Linked DNA regions of Nothobranchius furzeri. The protein of the gene in region 1 interacts with the protein of each later gene in a biochemical or structural test. Links are inferred from orthologs where the notes say so. Each region holds a gene or a part of one and is shown on either strand. Other genes may lie near its edges.

What was found.
Region 2: the proteins of ubr5 (region 1) and pck1 form a complex in vitro, tested with the Homo sapiens proteins (2 studies listed by BioGRID, with this or other methods). The link is inferred for Nothobranchius furzeri from reciprocal best matches to the Homo sapiens genes UBR5 and PCK1.
Region 3: the proteins of ubr5 (region 1) and otud5a form a complex in vitro, tested with the Homo sapiens proteins (2 studies listed by BioGRID, with this or other methods). The link is inferred for Nothobranchius furzeri from reciprocal best matches to the Homo sapiens genes UBR5 and OTUD5.
Region 4: the proteins of ubr5 (region 1) and polyadenylate-binding protein-interacting protein 2 form a complex in vitro, tested with the Homo sapiens proteins (2 studies listed by BioGRID and IntAct, with this or other methods). The link is inferred for Nothobranchius furzeri from reciprocal best matches to the Homo sapiens genes UBR5 and PAIP2.

What each region holds. Positions count from the first base shown.
Region 1 is NC_091745.1:50,575,297-50,578,796, reverse strand, and holds part of ubr5 (E3 ubiquitin-protein ligase UBR5), read left to right. Parts: intron 1-204; coding exon 205-462; intron 463-558; coding exon 559-827; intron 828-1,699; coding exon 1,700-1,911; intron 1,912-2,046; coding exon 2,047-2,280; intron 2,281-2,374; coding exon 2,375-2,448; intron 2,449-2,529; coding exon 2,530-2,702; intron 2,703-2,815; coding exon 2,816-2,965; intron 2,966-3,165; coding exon 3,166-3,383; intron 3,384-3,500. UniProt on the Homo sapiens protein: E3 ubiquitin-protein ligase involved in different protein quality control pathways in the cytoplasm and nucleus. Mainly acts as a ubiquitin chain elongator that extends pre-ubiquitinated substrates.
Region 2 is NC_091743.1:74,246,770-74,250,766, forward strand, and holds the start of pck1 (phosphoenolpyruvate carboxykinase, cytosolic [GTP]), read right to left. Parts: upstream 2,801-3,997; 5' UTR 2,650-2,800; intron 2,538-2,649; 5' UTR 2,474-2,537; coding exon 2,250-2,473; intron 2,075-2,249; coding exon 1,890-2,074; intron 1,788-1,889; coding exon 1,584-1,787; intron 1,509-1,583; coding exon 1,321-1,508; intron 1,229-1,320; coding exon 1,066-1,228; intron 980-1,065; coding exon 755-979; intron 660-754; coding exon 528-659; intron 425-527; coding exon 329-424; intron 231-328; coding exon 1-230. UniProt on the Homo sapiens protein: Cytosolic phosphoenolpyruvate carboxykinase that catalyzes the reversible decarboxylation and phosphorylation of oxaloacetate (OAA) and acts as the rate-limiting enzyme in gluconeogenesis.
Region 3 is NC_091755.1:47,032,962-47,037,081, reverse strand, and holds the start of otud5a (OTU domain-containing protein 5-A), read right to left. Parts: upstream 2,801-4,120; 5' UTR 2,576-2,800; coding exon 1,988-2,575; intron 1-1,987. UniProt on the Homo sapiens protein: Deubiquitinating enzyme that functions as a negative regulator of the innate immune system. Has peptidase activity towards 'Lys-48'- and 'Lys-63'-linked polyubiquitin chains. Can also cleave 'Lys-11'-linked ubiquitin chains (in vitro).
Region 4 is NC_091741.1:64,864,160-64,868,332, reverse strand, and holds the start of polyadenylate-binding protein-interacting protein 2, read left to right. Parts: upstream 1-1,373; 5' UTR 1,374-1,499; intron 1,500-1,678; 5' UTR 1,679-1,703; coding exon 1,704-1,850; intron 1,851-4,173. UniProt on the Homo sapiens protein: Acts as a repressor in the regulation of translation initiation of poly(A)-containing mRNAs. Its inhibitory activity on translation is mediated via its action on PABPC1.

The DNA.
Region 1 (3,500 bases):
TTGGTCTCAACAGGGAATGGAGCTGATTTGACTTGATTTCTTACTGCTTTCTCTTAGTGCTCCGATAAGTTATTGTGTGATTCACTAACGTGCATCAATGATTCTGTACGTTTGAATAGAAAACCAAAGTGGAATTAAAGGTTAACAAAGCTATTAAAGCATTTTTGTGTTTATTGTTTTGTTTCTTCTCTTCCTGTATTGAAGGTGCCAGCAGTGTTCCTGCCTTCTTTTCAGAGGACGACTCCCAGTCCAACGACTCCAGTGACTCGGACAGCAGTAGCAGTCAGAGTGATGATGTTGACCAAGAAACGTTTCTCTTAGATGAACCTCTGGAACGTACCACTAGCGCCTCACATGCTAACACTGCAGCCCAAGCTCCTCGCTCCATGCAGTGGGCTGTTAGAAACACACCCAGCCAAAGGACAAGTGGAAGCGCTCCCTCTAGCTCTTCAGCTCCAGCTGGTCAGTCAGCACCTGTCTGCATTTAAAAGTCTACAGTCTGTAGGGCGTTGAATTACAAATGTTGTCTATAATCATTTTATTTTGCCTCTTAAACAGCAAGCTCCACCGGTTTGATCTACATCGACCCTACAAACCTGCGCCGCTCCAACGCCATCAGCTCCAGTGCAGCAGCAGCTGCGGCAGCTCTGGAAGCCAGTAACTCCAGCAGTTACCTGACGTCTGCCAGTAGCCTGGCTCGTGCCTACAGCATCGTCATCAGGCAGATATCAGACCTCATGAGTCTGATTCCCAAGTATAACCATCTAGTCTACTCACAGTATCCTGCTGCTGTAAAGCTCTCCTACCAAGATGCTGTTAGCCTGCAGGTGATTATCGTTGGATAGGTCTGTCAGAATATCACAATCATTAAAAAAAAACCTCTTTAATAATGTTAACCTCAGACTTTATGAGTTAATGCAGTGGTCAAAAAAATGTTTGTCCCCCACCCCATGAGTGCAGACACGTGCATGTGCACACACTTATTATTTTTTTATGTTTCTGTTCTTAACAAATAAAAGTAAACCGCAATAACTTGCAGGTTACAATGAAATAAATAAATTCTGGAGTTATCTGGGACCCGAGCGACAGATAAACCGCACAAATCCCATATTCCATTTTACAACTACGAGAACCTCCAGAGCTCCTCTGCTCCCCGATTGTACACTCGTCCAGGTAACCAGACTGAATGATGGCTGAGAAGAGGCTGCACTCTCGGGCATTTCCTAATAAAACTAACCATGCAGAATGCCTCCTTAAATGGAAATGCAACCCGTTACTCAGCTTTTTATTTATTCCTGACGGGAACCTCTCCTCTGTCTCAACTGCGTTTAACCTCTGCAACTTGTTTGTTTCTTTTGCACTTTGGCAGCCGTTGTCTCAGTCTCACTGTAAATAAAGTTTTTTTTTTTTTCGGGAAATACACAAGCTGTGGACCAAACATGGTTACTTAAAGGTGTTGCTGTATGTAAATGACGAGAACAGACATGAGCAACTGGGCAGCACAGGTAGGATTTATCATCAGATGAGTGCGGAGGAACGTGCGTACGAGAGCCCACCGTATGTTAAATAAATCAGGATTTTGACCGTTCGTCTGAACGTTCTAAATTTCATTTGTAGGGAGGAAGTTAGGACAGTTCCTATGAACGATAAAAAAGGGTCCATACTATGACCAGTGTGTAATGATTATCATGTCTACCAGAACTACGTGGAAGAAAAGCTGATTCCCACCTGGAATTGGATGGTGTCCATCATGGATTCTACTGAGGCTCAGCTGCGATATGGCTCGGCTTTGTCGTCAGCTGGAGACCCGGGTCACCCCAGTCACCCACTTCACGCCTCTCAGCACTCAGCTCGCAGAGATCGCATGACCGCTCGGGAGGAGGCCAGCCTCCGCACTCTGGAAGGACGCAGGTATAGTTTTTCTTCGTCTTCATTGGAACATAATGACTGACTCAGTTTATTTGTTTACAACTTGATCAAATGAAAACACAGACCAGAAGTCAACCCATGCAGTCGTTTGGTTCACAATCATCTGCTTTCCTTCAGGAGAGCAGCAACGTTGCTGACCGCCCGTCAAGGCATGATGTCAGCACGGGGCGACTTCCTGAACTATGCGCTGTCACTGATGCGCTCCCACAACGATGAGCACTCGGATGTTCTTCCTGTCCTGGATGTGTGCTCGCTAAAACACGTAGCCTACGTGTTCCAGGCTCTGATCTACTGGATTAAGGCTATGAACCAGCAAACCACCCTGGACACCCCTCAGATGGAGAGAAAGAGGTGTGTGTTTAAAAGTTGCATCACCAGACAAGTATTGGTTGCTAACTAAACGGCTCATTGCTTAAGTAGAATTATTTATTTATTTTTTCACTAGGAATAGAGAAATATTGGAACTGGGCCTGGACAACGAGGATTCTGAGCACGAAAACGATGAAGACACTAACCAAAGTACAGCAGCTTGGTTGACTACATCGGTACACAGACGCTGGTATTTTAAACTTTGTTTGAAAAGTTTTTCTTTCAACACAGGTTCAACGCTGCAAGACAAAGACGATGACCCAGTTCCAGCTGAAACGGGTCAGAACCATCCCTTCTTCCGCCGCTCGGACTCCATGACCTTCCTGGGCTGCATCCCACCCAACCCCTTTGATGTTCCTCTTGCGGAGGCCATTCCACTGGCAGACCAGCCCCATCTCCTGCAGGTCTGACATGTGGCTGTTCTGTGACATGCTTCACCAGCTACACGGGACATGTTTGTTTGTTTGGGTTTTTGCATTTATGTATTAAAAAGTCCATGTTGCCTCCTGTCTAACAGCCTAACGCCAGAAAGGAGGACCTGTTTGGGCGTCCCTCTCAGGGCTTATACTCCTCCTCCTACATGACGACCAAAGGCCTGGCTGAGACCAGCATGGACAGGAACTGCCTGGAGGTAAACATGGGCTCCTCTCTACTCTCCTCCTCTCAGGTACACCACCCACCGTCAGAGAAACAGCTGAGCTCTATGCGAAGCAATTTAAAACCAAATGCTTAAAACAACACAAGATTATCTCCTAGATGTTTGTTTTAAATGTGTTTACTGGAACCTGATAGTCATAATCCCATCATCATTATTTCAGTGTGACTGTTTTCTTCTTGCTAATAAATAACACTATCCCTGGTGGACAGATCCTGCCCACAAAGATGTCCTACACAGCCAACCTGAAAAATGTCATGAGCATGGAAACTGGCCAGCGGAGCAGTGACAACCAGTTATTGGGTGAACAGGAGATGGAGGCTTCTAAACCAGGACCTTCTCCTCATGACCTCGCTGCCCAGCTGAAGAGCAGTCTCCTCGCTGAGATTGGTCTCACTGAGAGTGACGGTCCTCCTCTTCCGTCATTCAGGTGAGGTCGCTGGTGGTTCTCTCTAAAACTGGAAGAAGACCTCTCAGCAGAACCTCATTTTTTTCCCAAATGTTATCAATCAAAATGACTTTTAAACATGAGAATGCCGTTTGTCCT
Region 2 (3,997 bases), on another chromosome or scaffold:
GGTCTCACCGTTCACTCGTCTGAACATCCAGTCCAGGACGCGGATATTGTCCCCAAAACCGGGCCAGAGGAAGCCAGCTGTCGGAGACTTGCGGAACCAGTTGACGTGGAAAATCTTGGGGAGCTTGGCACCAGGACGGTCGGCCATGCTCAGCCAGTGGGAAAGGTACTGGCCAAAGTTGTAGCCAAAGAAAGGGCGCATGGCAAAGGGGTCGTGCATGATTACCTTGCCTGGATAAAAAAGTACAAAAAGATGAAGTCAGTTTCAAGTTTCAGATCCAACAGAAAATAACAAACACTAACAAAGAGATGGTTGTTTAGACACCGACCTTTGTGTTCGGCTGCTGCGGTGGCCTCTGACCTCATGGCTGCTCCAACAAACACACCATGCTGCCAGCTGAAGGCTTCATACACCAGAGGGACACCTAAAGGGAACAAAGGAAAACAGGATTTACAGAGTTTCATTGATTACATCTTTATTTCATTTAAGTCCAGCTGTGATTAAGAATGCGGACTGGTTATTCTCACCTTCTGGTCTGCGGCCTCCAAAAATGATAGCCTCAATGGGGACTCCCTCCGGGGATTCCCACTGCGGATCAATAATGGGACACTGACCGGCCGGTGTGCAGAAACGAGAGTTGGGATGAGCACAAGGTTCTCCTACAAACAGAGAAAGCGAAGATTATTCAATCAACTTATTTTCTTCTTAAAAAAAGCTTATTTTTGAGTTTTAGTCCCCTGGTCTAGGTTCTCACCATCTTCTAAATTCCAGGGCTTGTTTTTCCAGGACGTGAGAGTCACTTCCTCAGGAAGTTTTTGGTCCATTCCCTCCCAGTACACGCCGCCGTCGCTGGTCTCTGCAACATTTGTGAAGATGGTGTTCCTAACAATGGTCGCCATGGCATTGGGGTTGGTTTTGATGGATGTGCCGGGTGCAACACCAAAAAAGCCATTCTCAGGGTTGATGGCACGTAAATTGCCTAAGAAAATAGAAAAGGGAAATACGTTTGTTTTGTTCTTTGTTCGCAATTTTCATGTTTCATTATCTGTGAAGTATTTTTCTCACCTTGGTTGTCAAACTTCATCCAAGCGATATCATCTCCTACGCACTCAACCTTCCATCCAGGCAGCGTTGGGCAGAGCATGGCCAGGTTGGTTTTCCCACAGGCGCTGGGAAAGGCTGCCGCCATGTACTTCTTCTCCCCAGCAGGATTAGTGACACCGAGGATCTGAGCAGCAGAAATGTTTAAGTTTGACCATAACAATGACGATTGTTCTGTGAAATGGTTAAATAAAATAAAAATGCGTTGCCTTTTCTTACCAGCATGTGCTCAGCCAGCCAGCCTTCCTCTTTGGCGATGCGAGAGGCGATACGGAGAGCGAAGCACTTCTTTCCCAGCAGCGAGTTTCCTCCATAACCACTGCCAAACGACACAATCTGTCTGCGGTCTGGGATGTGGGCAATCAGTGTCTGCTCAGGATTGCAGGGCCAGTTGTTTACCAGGGGCTCTGAAATAACAACTGCAGTTATTTAAATGCTCTAAAACTTACAGAGATTCTAGTGAGGATGCTTTGATTTTGTACTTTTGAGAGGTAGAGGACAGCCAACGGAGTGCAGGCAGCGGACAAACTCTCCATTTCCCAGAGCGGATAGCACTGTCTTCCCCATTCGGGTCATCACCCTCATGCTGGCCACGACGTAGGGGGAGTCCGTCAGCTCCACACCAATCTTAGACAAGGGGGAACCTACTGGACCCATGCTGAAGGGAATCACATACATGGTGCGACCTGAGGACAGGGACAGGAAAAATAGATCTTTACATCATGACAAACAAATGTTCTCTACTTTTTGATCATTACTGGAGAACAAAACCTGCATCTCTGTGGTACCTTTCATGCAGCCGGGGAAGCGTTGACCCATGGCTTTGTCAAACTCCTCTGGAGACATCCAACGGCCCAGTTGGCTGACTCCTCCATCCAGTGGTGTTGGTACTGTGTCCCTCTGGTTCTGGGTAACAATCACTGTTCTGCTCTCAATGCGAGCCACATCCCTTGGGTCGGTTCTAGCTAACCAGCTGAAGGAGGAGAAAGGTCAGAGATGACATTTTGTGTCGGAAGCAGCCAGACTTACTGGTTTGTCAGTAGTTTTGCTTTCTGAGTTTGTTTTTTATCTAAAAAGGTGCTGACCATGGCTATAGCTAAGCTACCAATGTGAAATCCGTCAAAACTGACTTAAATAAATCATCCTACCAGTTCTCGTATTTGGTGAGCTTCTTGATCATCCCCTGTTCCTCTAGCTGGGTCAGGATGGCTCGGTTCTCCTGATCTGAGCCATCACAGATGTGGACAGACTCAGGCTGGCACAGGACCATGTTGGCTTCCACAAACTCCCGGACCGCGGGGCTCAAGGCACTGAGGCTGCCCTGCAGGATCCTGGGACCATTCTGGCTTTGGGACTGGATCTGAGGAGGCATGGTGACAAAGTCTGGAGAGCGAGAGAGTCGACAGACTAAGAGAGACGAGATGAAGTCTGGAAGTCTGAAAATTTGAAGGGAAAAAGAAAAAAGATTTTAGACAAACTGAAGATTTCAGCATCATCATCGTAATCCTCTCCTACAAGAGCTGCCACACACAAAGTATTTCATGTTACCTTCAGTAGTTTGGAGCAAAGAGCTGTTAGCTTGGCCTCATCAGCTGAGGTGTCTCTGATGGCTGTTCCCAGTCAAGTTGAGGACTCTTGGTCCATTGTGTCCTCCCTGGAGAAGGTTTGCTCCTTTTATACCCTGGGATGTCCCTGAAAGAGGAGGGAGAAGAGTAGGAAGGAGGGGGAAGTGTGTCAGGAGGTGTGAGCATGACCCCGGTGTGTCGCAGGACTTCAGCTAATCATTAATCCGCTGCCGGACATAACGCAGTCTTTATGTAACCGGTTCTCTCCTGCCATCAGCCGATAACTGGGCTAGATCTGAGTGAGAACCTGTAGCTTTGAGATGTTTAACTCACATTGCTGCAAGAAAAACAGTCAAAGTGAGAGCACAAAACATGCAACACTGTTTTTGCACATTTTTGCATCACAGAAATATTTCCATTTTTCTTTAATCGGTTGTTGCAATTAAGATGAAATAGTTTGATATAAGCTAAGTAAAATTTCTATCAATGGTCATCCCTGTCCCTCTGAGTTGTTACGAAAGTCGCTGAACTTTAGAACAAATAAGTAAATGATGTAAGTTCAGGGTTCACCGTGGCGAGGCTGCAGCATGACGTCGACAGCACTCCGGCTGGACTCTTGCATTGCCTGACAGATGGGGGCTTGATCTCGTGTTGTAAAAGTTCAGTCAGGAAAAGTGCATATGTGTGCGCGCTTGCATGTAAGTAATGGAAACCAAGATAAAATAGGAACATTTGGAGCTGATTTTGCAAGTAAATTAGAAATAATTCCACAGTTAAACACAGAAAGAGAAAAATCAAGCCCAGGCGATTCAGCTAGCGGTGAGTTAGCTGCTACTTGCTGTGCTATTCCACAAACATTTCCTCTATTAAACACATTTAATTAGTTGCAGAGCTGATGGACCATCGTTCTTCCTTATTTATCTCAACTTATTTTAGGTTAACATTTAATCACCCAATGGCGGCAAGGCAGCTTTATTTCTTTGGAACGTTTCCCACACAGAAGCAACTCAACATGCCTTCCAGGTGCAAGATCAGCGAGAACATAAAACATCAAAGTCAATGTGACAACATAAAACAGCAGATGTTAAAGTTAGAAATAAAATATACAAACAAAATAAGATGTAAGAATCAGAAAACAGACCTCGTTAAGGCTGAGCAGTTACGGTGCGGAAGGTGTAGCATAAGAAGTGATCATTCAAAGGCTGATAAACCATAAAAGTGTTCATTTCATTTGAAGCTGATTCCATCTGTGTGCAGCAGTAGCTAAAAGTAGCTTCACCCTGTTTGGTTCATCCAGTGCTGGAATCCTTCAGCTTCCCAAGACTTCTGTA
Region 3 (4,120 bases), on another chromosome or scaffold:
TAAAATGTTTTGTCGACATTTTAGAGATGTTCCACAAAGTTTATGAACATGATGTCATCACATGACAGCGCCGAGAGAAGAAATGGCAGCTCGCGTACCAGCTGACCGGGAGTCTTAAAAAAACCACAACTTCTGGTGAACTCTTATGAGGTCATTTGTGCAAACAAAAGAGGACAGCGAAAGCCGCCCGCCCCGTCGGCACGGCAGAGCAGCGAGCCGTAGCTGAAGAGGCAGATTTCTGTCTGCAGCCGTCATTAAAAGGCACGACTACAGGCCTTTCTGGTGGAAATAAGCAGCCAGCCTTCCCCAGATGTCACGACTAGCCCAAAGGTAACCGGCCGTCTGCCACAAGCGAGTTTTCAGCAGTTGGGGGCTGAAGCCGAAAAAGGTAAACGTGCAGGTTTTACAGGTGAAAAATCTTTTTATAAGCTTGTTTTTTTATTAAAGTTGTTAATATTAGGTGTGTTATGTTGTTAGTGTTTGTTATTGAGTTTCTGAACGGTGAAGGTCCAAACCAACAGTTTGAAGGCTTACGTCATCATTTTTAAATTAGTCCCAGTAATACCGCACACCGTGGTAAAATGTGGAGGAAGCTAGGTGGGATTAAAATGTGAGCACCGCCCACGTCTAGATGTTATCAGTGACATTTTACCATACGGCTGACCAGGACCTCTACATATCAGCATCAGCAAAAGAAAAACCAATTTGTCAATCTCTAATCAGCAACCACTCCATTCAGAGGCTGCACCAAATCCTCTGGGTTGGACCAGAACAGCAGAAATGTGGTCAACTGGATCAGAACTCTGGAGTATTGTTTCAAGAGCTGGGGTCTAAGAGCTCTGGTCCAAAGAGGAAAAGGAACATCCAGGCTGTCAGCATCAGGACCAAAAGCCCGTTCCTGGTTCAGAAACAAAATAAGACCCGCGAGTCTTTATCATCAGAAGTTAAAGAGGATGGCTACTGATGAAGAGCCTGTTGGAAAAGGTAGGTTTTAAGCTTGCGCTTGAACAAAGATAACTCAAAAGTCAAACTCAGGTCATCAGGGAGTTTGTTCCAGACTGCTGGAGTCACGACTGAAAAAGAGCGGTCACCCCAGTGCTTGTATCGAGGTCGAGGGACTGAGTTAGTGGACCGTGTTAGCTGACGTAAGGACAAGGAGTCAGAGAGATAGGCAGGACCGAGGCCATGGATGCTCGTGAACATTATGAATTTGAATTGTGTTCTGAAAAATACAGGAAGCCAGTGCAGTTCTAAGCGAATGGGAGTAATATGGCTGCCCCAAGGTGTGTTAGTGAGGAGACGGGCTGCGGTATTTTGGGCTAGCTGCAGACGAGCGATGGAGGACTTGGATAGGGCATTGCAGTAACCGATGTGCGAGCTTATAAGGGCATGACTGACTTTTTCCAGGTCCTAAGTTGATAAAAACTTGACTTGACCGCCGCATTGATCTGTTTGTCGAAATTCATGTGTTCATCGAAGATGACACTGAGGTTTCAAACATGTTGCTTACGTCTAATGGCCTGCTGATCGAGGTCAGTAGAGACCTGATGGTGTAAAAAAAAATCCACATTCTAGAAAAGTGCTGATCCAGATTCAGGACCACAGGTCTGGATCTGGATGCTGGGAGGCACTAAAACCACATCTGGACTGACTGTTGCTGCTGCCCCCACCTGCACATCCAGCCCTCATAAATCCCCACCCCTATTACCTGTTGTGTGACTACAGCATCCCAGTCGTTGCTATGGTTACCTGAAGCCTTTGGGAAGCGGGTCAGACTTTGACCTGACCGTTGTGGTGAAAACAGTGTAGTACTGGTGTTGTACCGCTACAGCGGCGTTTCCTTTATGATTACACTTTTGTTAATCACGACACTGCTGACACGGTGGGGTCTCTTTATGGAGTTAAATGTTGTGTAAAAGCCTTCAAACCCTCCAGAACCCTCCCGTTTAGCCTCGTTAGCATCCCCGTTAGCCTGTTAGCTCCCTACCTGCTCCACCGTGGCCGGGTCCATGAACTGCAACCGGGCGGCGTTCTCGTACTCGTCCTCGCTGTTGTTCCCTGCTCCTTCCTCCGTATCCTGACTGGACCCTACACCTCCGGGTCCGGTCACCCCCGGCTGGCCTCCCCCGGCCAGAGCAGCGACCACCCCACCGGAGCAGGTTCCTGCCTGCCGCCGCCTCTTGCTCAGCCCGGGCCCGGAGCAGCAACCGCCTATCGACCCGCCGCATCCAACGACACCGGCAGGCACAACAAGCTCCCCGCGGGAGCCGGTAACCATTCCACCGCTACCGTCTCTGCCATCTCCCGGCCCTACCGGGGACACGGAGCCAACGGGCGGCGGAGAGGCCTGCTGCGGCCGGGAGCTCGCCTCGATGCTCCGCCTGTCCTCTCTGGCGGAGGGGGGAGCAGTCTGGTAAGACCACGGCGGAGGGGAGGCTCTGGGTCGGGCTCCGGTCCGCCCAGCGTGCGGGTGTGGGTGTTGGTGAGGGTCGGAGCTGCTCCGACGGTCGCTGTCATCGGCGTGGTCCGAGACGCCGACACCAGAGCTGGGCTTCTTCTTGGGGAGGATCGTCATGGTGGAGCAGGGAGGCGGTCAGAGGGTGACGAGTCCCCGTTCTGGATAAAACTAGTCGGTCTATTCACCTTCTGAACGAGCGGTTCGGCTCCAGTCACCGAGTTAAGACCCTTAACGGACCGAAACCGACCAAAGAAACAACAATTCTGTTTACATTCGACGGTGGAGTTGAACAAAAACAAAAAGCGTCTCCCTCTTCCCGTTCTCCAAAACATCAACACAGCCTGACTGGGCGCTGTGACGTAACATCCGGCCGGCAGCGTCATGACGTAAACCTGACCTTTAACACACAGAATCACTATTTTTATTATTAATCATTTATTCTATAAAACTCTACAAAACATTTTTGTTTTAATTCTTATCGCTTTTCAGCTTTTTGTGTAAAATTACGAAACAAACAAAACAAAAAAACAATAAAAACTGATGCTGCGAATCATTTAAAGAGCAACTCACCCCCCAAATAAACTTTTGCTTAGTCAACCCCTACCAGAGTCTAACTCCACTCTCACTTCATGTTTGAAAAATGCAACAAATGCTGTTGCCTGGCAGACCGAGAAGGCGGAGCTGCTAACAAATACACACACACACACAGGCTCACGACAGCATTGTGACATCATAATGTACCAGTTTACATCATAGCATACCTCTTCGCCAATAGCGGTGGCAGATTTAAATTGAAATACAGTGCAGAGTTTTTACCTGACAACGGCACAACACTGCCAGTTTTAGGCAGAATATTTAAATTTTAACTAAGATGCACTAAAGTGCCAAATTATTGACGACACGTGTCTGCAGCACGATTAGACACTCGTTTATTTAGTTTATCAGCAAAAAAAAAGTTTATTTGGGGGGGTGACTTGCTCTTTAAGCAACAACAGAATGCTGTTATTTACACTTGATTAAAAGTCATTTGTTTTGCTCTTTGTGATGATTTTTCTTTCAGTGATAAGTAGGGCCAGCAGTAGCTCAAGAGGTTGGGTTGGTTGTCCAGTAATCAGAAGGTTGCAGGTCCGATCCCGGCTCCCACCAGAGAATCCTGCTGTTGTGTCCTTGGGCAAGAAAATTACCCCCCACCCCCCCCAACCCCACCCCGCCCGCCCCCTGGTGGCGGTCGGAAGGACCGGTGACACCTGGGTTTGGCAGCCTCGCCTCCGTCAGTGTGCCCCAGGGCAGCTGTGGCTATGTTGTAGCTCATCACCACCAGTGTGTGAACGGATGAATGATACACTGACACTGAAAGGCGCTATAAAAGTGCAGTTCAAGTCAAAGTTTTGAATGAGAAAATAATCACCCCCTCTGAAGGACTACAATCGTATTGCTCTGTGAATAACGCCAGCTGTTGCTGGAGCTGACATCAGACGGACCATGGGTGGCAATCCACATTTAAAAGATTTCAGGGAAAGAGTTGTGGACAGACTACGGAAAATTTCAATCTCAAGGAGCAGCACAGTAAAGTCTCCAATAAAGAAGGGGACAGTGTTTGGTGCAACTGGGACCCTCCCTTGTTCTGTGTGGAAGTGCAAGGAGGAAACTGATGTTCTACAG
Region 4 (4,173 bases), on another chromosome or scaffold:
TACACCTCTGTTATAAAGTAGTCTTTGCAAAATGATGTTTAAAATGAAAATTTCTTCTAGCCTCCAGATCCTCAGAACTAAAAACAAACAACTACTGCAAACTCATCAACGTACTTGACTTTTTGCTTTGTACATAACTAGTAATGTGCTTGACTCAACTAAACTTTTAAGTTTCATAATACGTGATCTGATAAATAAATTATTGTGATCTCTTAGATTTACTTTGTGTATAATTCGTACAGTTCTTTTCTGTACGACAGGCTTTTTGTGTTATCAGCAAAAACAAACTGTAACAACTATGACACATTGACAATGTCATTAATATACAAACCAAAAAGTTTAGGTCCCAACAATAACCCTTGTGGGACTCCACATTAAATCTTCAATGCAATCAGATATCTTACCAGCACACTGCACACACACACATGTCTGTTATCTAAATAACTACTTAAAGAGTAAGTCACCCCCAAATCAAATTTTTGCTGATAAACCATATAAATGAGTGTCTAAACATGCTGTAGACATGCGTTGTCAATATTTTGGCACTTTAGTGCATCTTAGTTAAAATTAAATATTTTGCCTAAAACTGTCAGTGTTGCGCCATCTTCAGGCAAAAACTCTGCACTACATTTGAATTTAAATCTACCTATTGGCTAAGAGGTACACAATGACGTTAGCTGGTGCATTGTGATGTCACAATGCTGTTGTAAGCCTGTTTGTGACCCTCTCGGTCTGCCAGGCAACAGTATTTGTTGCATTTTTCAAACATGAAGTGAGATTGGAGTAAGTTTGTTGTAGGGGGTGACTTGCTCTTTAACTATTTTAAGAGTACTCCTCTCATGCCATGTGTGGGTAATTTAGAAATTAAAATAGAAAGGCCTATGGTTTTGAGTGTTTTTTAATCTATAAAACCCTCTATTGTATTCTTTGAAGTGTTAATTAGATAATAAATCTAAATTGTTTCACTAATGGGTGGCTGTTGAATGGTTTTCTTTTATTTTTACTAATTGTGTAATTACATGAAGCATACGTTTAAGCTGAATCATGAGTTGACTCCATAGACTGTACATACTCAAATTGACTACAAATTCAAATTCAAATGTTCATTCTGTACTCCTTGATATTTATTATTTTTATTAAAGTGTTCAGTTAAAAATCAAAATCTTGTAACAAAATATGTCGGCTTGAAATTACTACAGCCCTTCAGTTAATTCAACAATGAAACACTTATATAATGAAAGGGTGTGAAAAATAATTTTCATATTTTGTTAATGTGTTCTATCTAAATGTGAAGTTTCACATAAAATAGAATAATAAAGTCCGTTAATTGATTGTGAGGACCGCGAATGCGCCACAGTCCTTAAGCCAATCATGGTGGAGCTCGAAGTGACGCAGCAGATGTAAACAAACATTTGCAGTGCGGCCATTACAGAAGAGTTTTTGCTTTGACTGAACTTGAGCTATTAGACATTTTGACGTCGAATTAATCCGCTCAACAGGTATTTGAAGAGTTAAAAATAAAATAGTTTGCGTCACTACATACGTGTGCGTTTGTGTCTGTGTGTTCTGTCGCGGTTTGTGTTGTGTTTCATGCTGTGTAATTCAGCGGCCTTCACAGCCCGTCTGACCGCCGATTTCTACTCGTTTAACGGTCACCTCCCCTCTCGTCGTCCCACAGAGCCACAGAACCGAATCAAGAGGACATGAAGGACCCGAGCATCAACAACACCTCAACCTCCCCCAGCATGACAATGACCGGAGAGGTGATCCTTAGCAGCCAGTTCGGTACCGAGGAGAACCCGTTTGCGGAGTACATGTGGATGGAGAACGAAGAGGAGTTCAATCAGCAGGTGAGGAGCCTGAAAAACCAGATTCTTTACTCAAACCGTGGTCCAGGTTCAGAACCTGGCTCTATAAAAACTCGCTTATTGTACGGGACACATTCTGGAGAATTACACGAAAGCTCCCCTCAAAGTCACCCAGAACCATTAGTACTAAATGCGTGGTTCTGGTCATGGTTCTGTCAGAAGGACATGTATACTGGATCAGCGTATGGCTCTTAAGGTTCTGCCTTTCTTCATGGAAACCCAGTCAGATCTGAATCGGGTCAGCTCAGCTCTGACGTTGTGTGTTTGTTCAACAAAACATAAATTAAACAAAAAGATTTATTGTGTCTTTTAGGCACAGATGTCACGACTGATCAGAGGTCTGGAGTAAGGAAGACAGATTAAGTTCTCACAGAGGAATAGAACTCAAGATAGTAGTGTTAGATGTTAGACATTATGTTGTTTTTCTTGAGAGAAAGCTCTCGGTCATCGGGATACTTCTGGCTATAGTTGTCGAAAATATTCACTTATTTATCTTCTTATGGTTCCTGACAACGCTTTTTAAAACCACTTGGTTAAACTGGTGAAAGCAGGTCCATCAGAGCCACAAATATTCTACTGTCTCTTGTTAAAGCATAGAAAAGACCCATTTAAACATCTGCTGCGAAGAACTCTGAGCTGCTTCTAGGGATGATTACTCTGTGTGTCACAGATCCTTTGGTGTTTATTTACCTCTGATGGGGTGGGGCTGCTTGAGAGACAACTATTACAACTGGACTTCGATTGGGCTGCTGGAGTCTGCTACAGGCCCAGTCATAAGTATGACTGAAACTACTTACTAAATTATTGATAAGACTTAAGGTTTTGTTGCATTTAGGGCAAGGCAGCTTAATTTGTATTGCACATTTCATAAACAGAGGTAATTCAATGTGCTTTCCAGGTGCAAAATCAACATAACAGCATAATTAAAATACACAAATAAATTTATATAAATTAAATGCACAAATTAAATTCAGATTTAAGAATCAGATAAAAGGCTAAGTTAAAGGGGGAGCAGTTACAGTGCACAAGGTGCAGCATAAGAGACGGTCATTCAAAGGCTGATGAACGAAAGTTTTCAATTTTGATTTAAAAGTTACTAGAGTTGGGACAGCATAGTAGCTAAAAGCAGCTTCACCCTGTTTGGTTCTGACCTGGGGTACTATCAACTGACTGCTTCCTAAGGATCTCAGAGCACTGCTGGGCACACTATAAGGAAATCTAACGTGTATTTTGGCTCCATGCCATTGAGTGATTTATAAACTAGTAGAAGCACTTTGAAATTGATTCTGTAGTTTACTTGTAACTCATGCAGAGATTTAAGAACAGGAGTTCTGTTTAATTCCCTCCTGACTGCCAGTGGCAGTAAACAGTGGATGTATCTCCTCGCGCTCTGCGCAGGTCGAGTACTAATGTAAACCTAGTCGCGAGTCTATAAATTACGCGCCGATAGCTACGTTCGGGTCTCTTTGATCTTCTCGCTGTTGACCTGGCGTGCTTCGCGGGTCAGTCGCTCCATCAGTCCGTGATTCGGACCTTGTCGGTCTAGAGGTGAGTACACGTACTACTTGGTGTCAACCTTCCCGAGACCGGGTGGTCGGAGTGCTCAGGGGAGCCCTCTGGGGCGGTGGATTGACGCGGTTATCTGTCGATTGTTACAGAGAGCGGGCGGTGCGGCCGGTGTTCTGAGAAACCGTTCTACTTTGGCAAAACGTCCTACCCGTAGGCTAATTTTACGGTGTTTTACATGACACAAACCATAACCCTAACTCTAACCCAAAAAAAATCAAGTATCAACGTCAATAAAAAGTACTAATACTTACTACTTATCTATTTTCCTGCAAATATGACAATGGAGTAGCATTTCCTTTTTGTGATGTGCGCATGCGCGCGCATGCTCAGGAACAACGGGTAGGACGGTTTACGGGGTAGGAGAAATTCCCAGAACACCGGCGCCATTCGGACCGCCGCTCGGATAGGGCTCGCTGGCGGTCGCTGTTTTCCCCTGTGGAAAGGGGAGGGGTTGCGGCCGGCGAGCGCTACAGGTAATTGGGGCTGGACGTTCTGACCGTGGAGGTGTCACGCTCAGATTATCCAGCCGACACACACATTGTGTGTTGTTTAACAACTCCAAGACTGAATCGCGTTCTTCAGTTTTCTTTGAAGTCCTCGCTCAGTTTCTGTGTAGTCGCTGGCGTCTCCCACATCGGTAGGGATGTTGGCGTTTACGTCATGCGGGGCTCCCCTCCAGGTGGAGGACGGCCACGACTTGTGTCCAAAGTGTCTGGGTGTCAGTCACCTCAGAGAG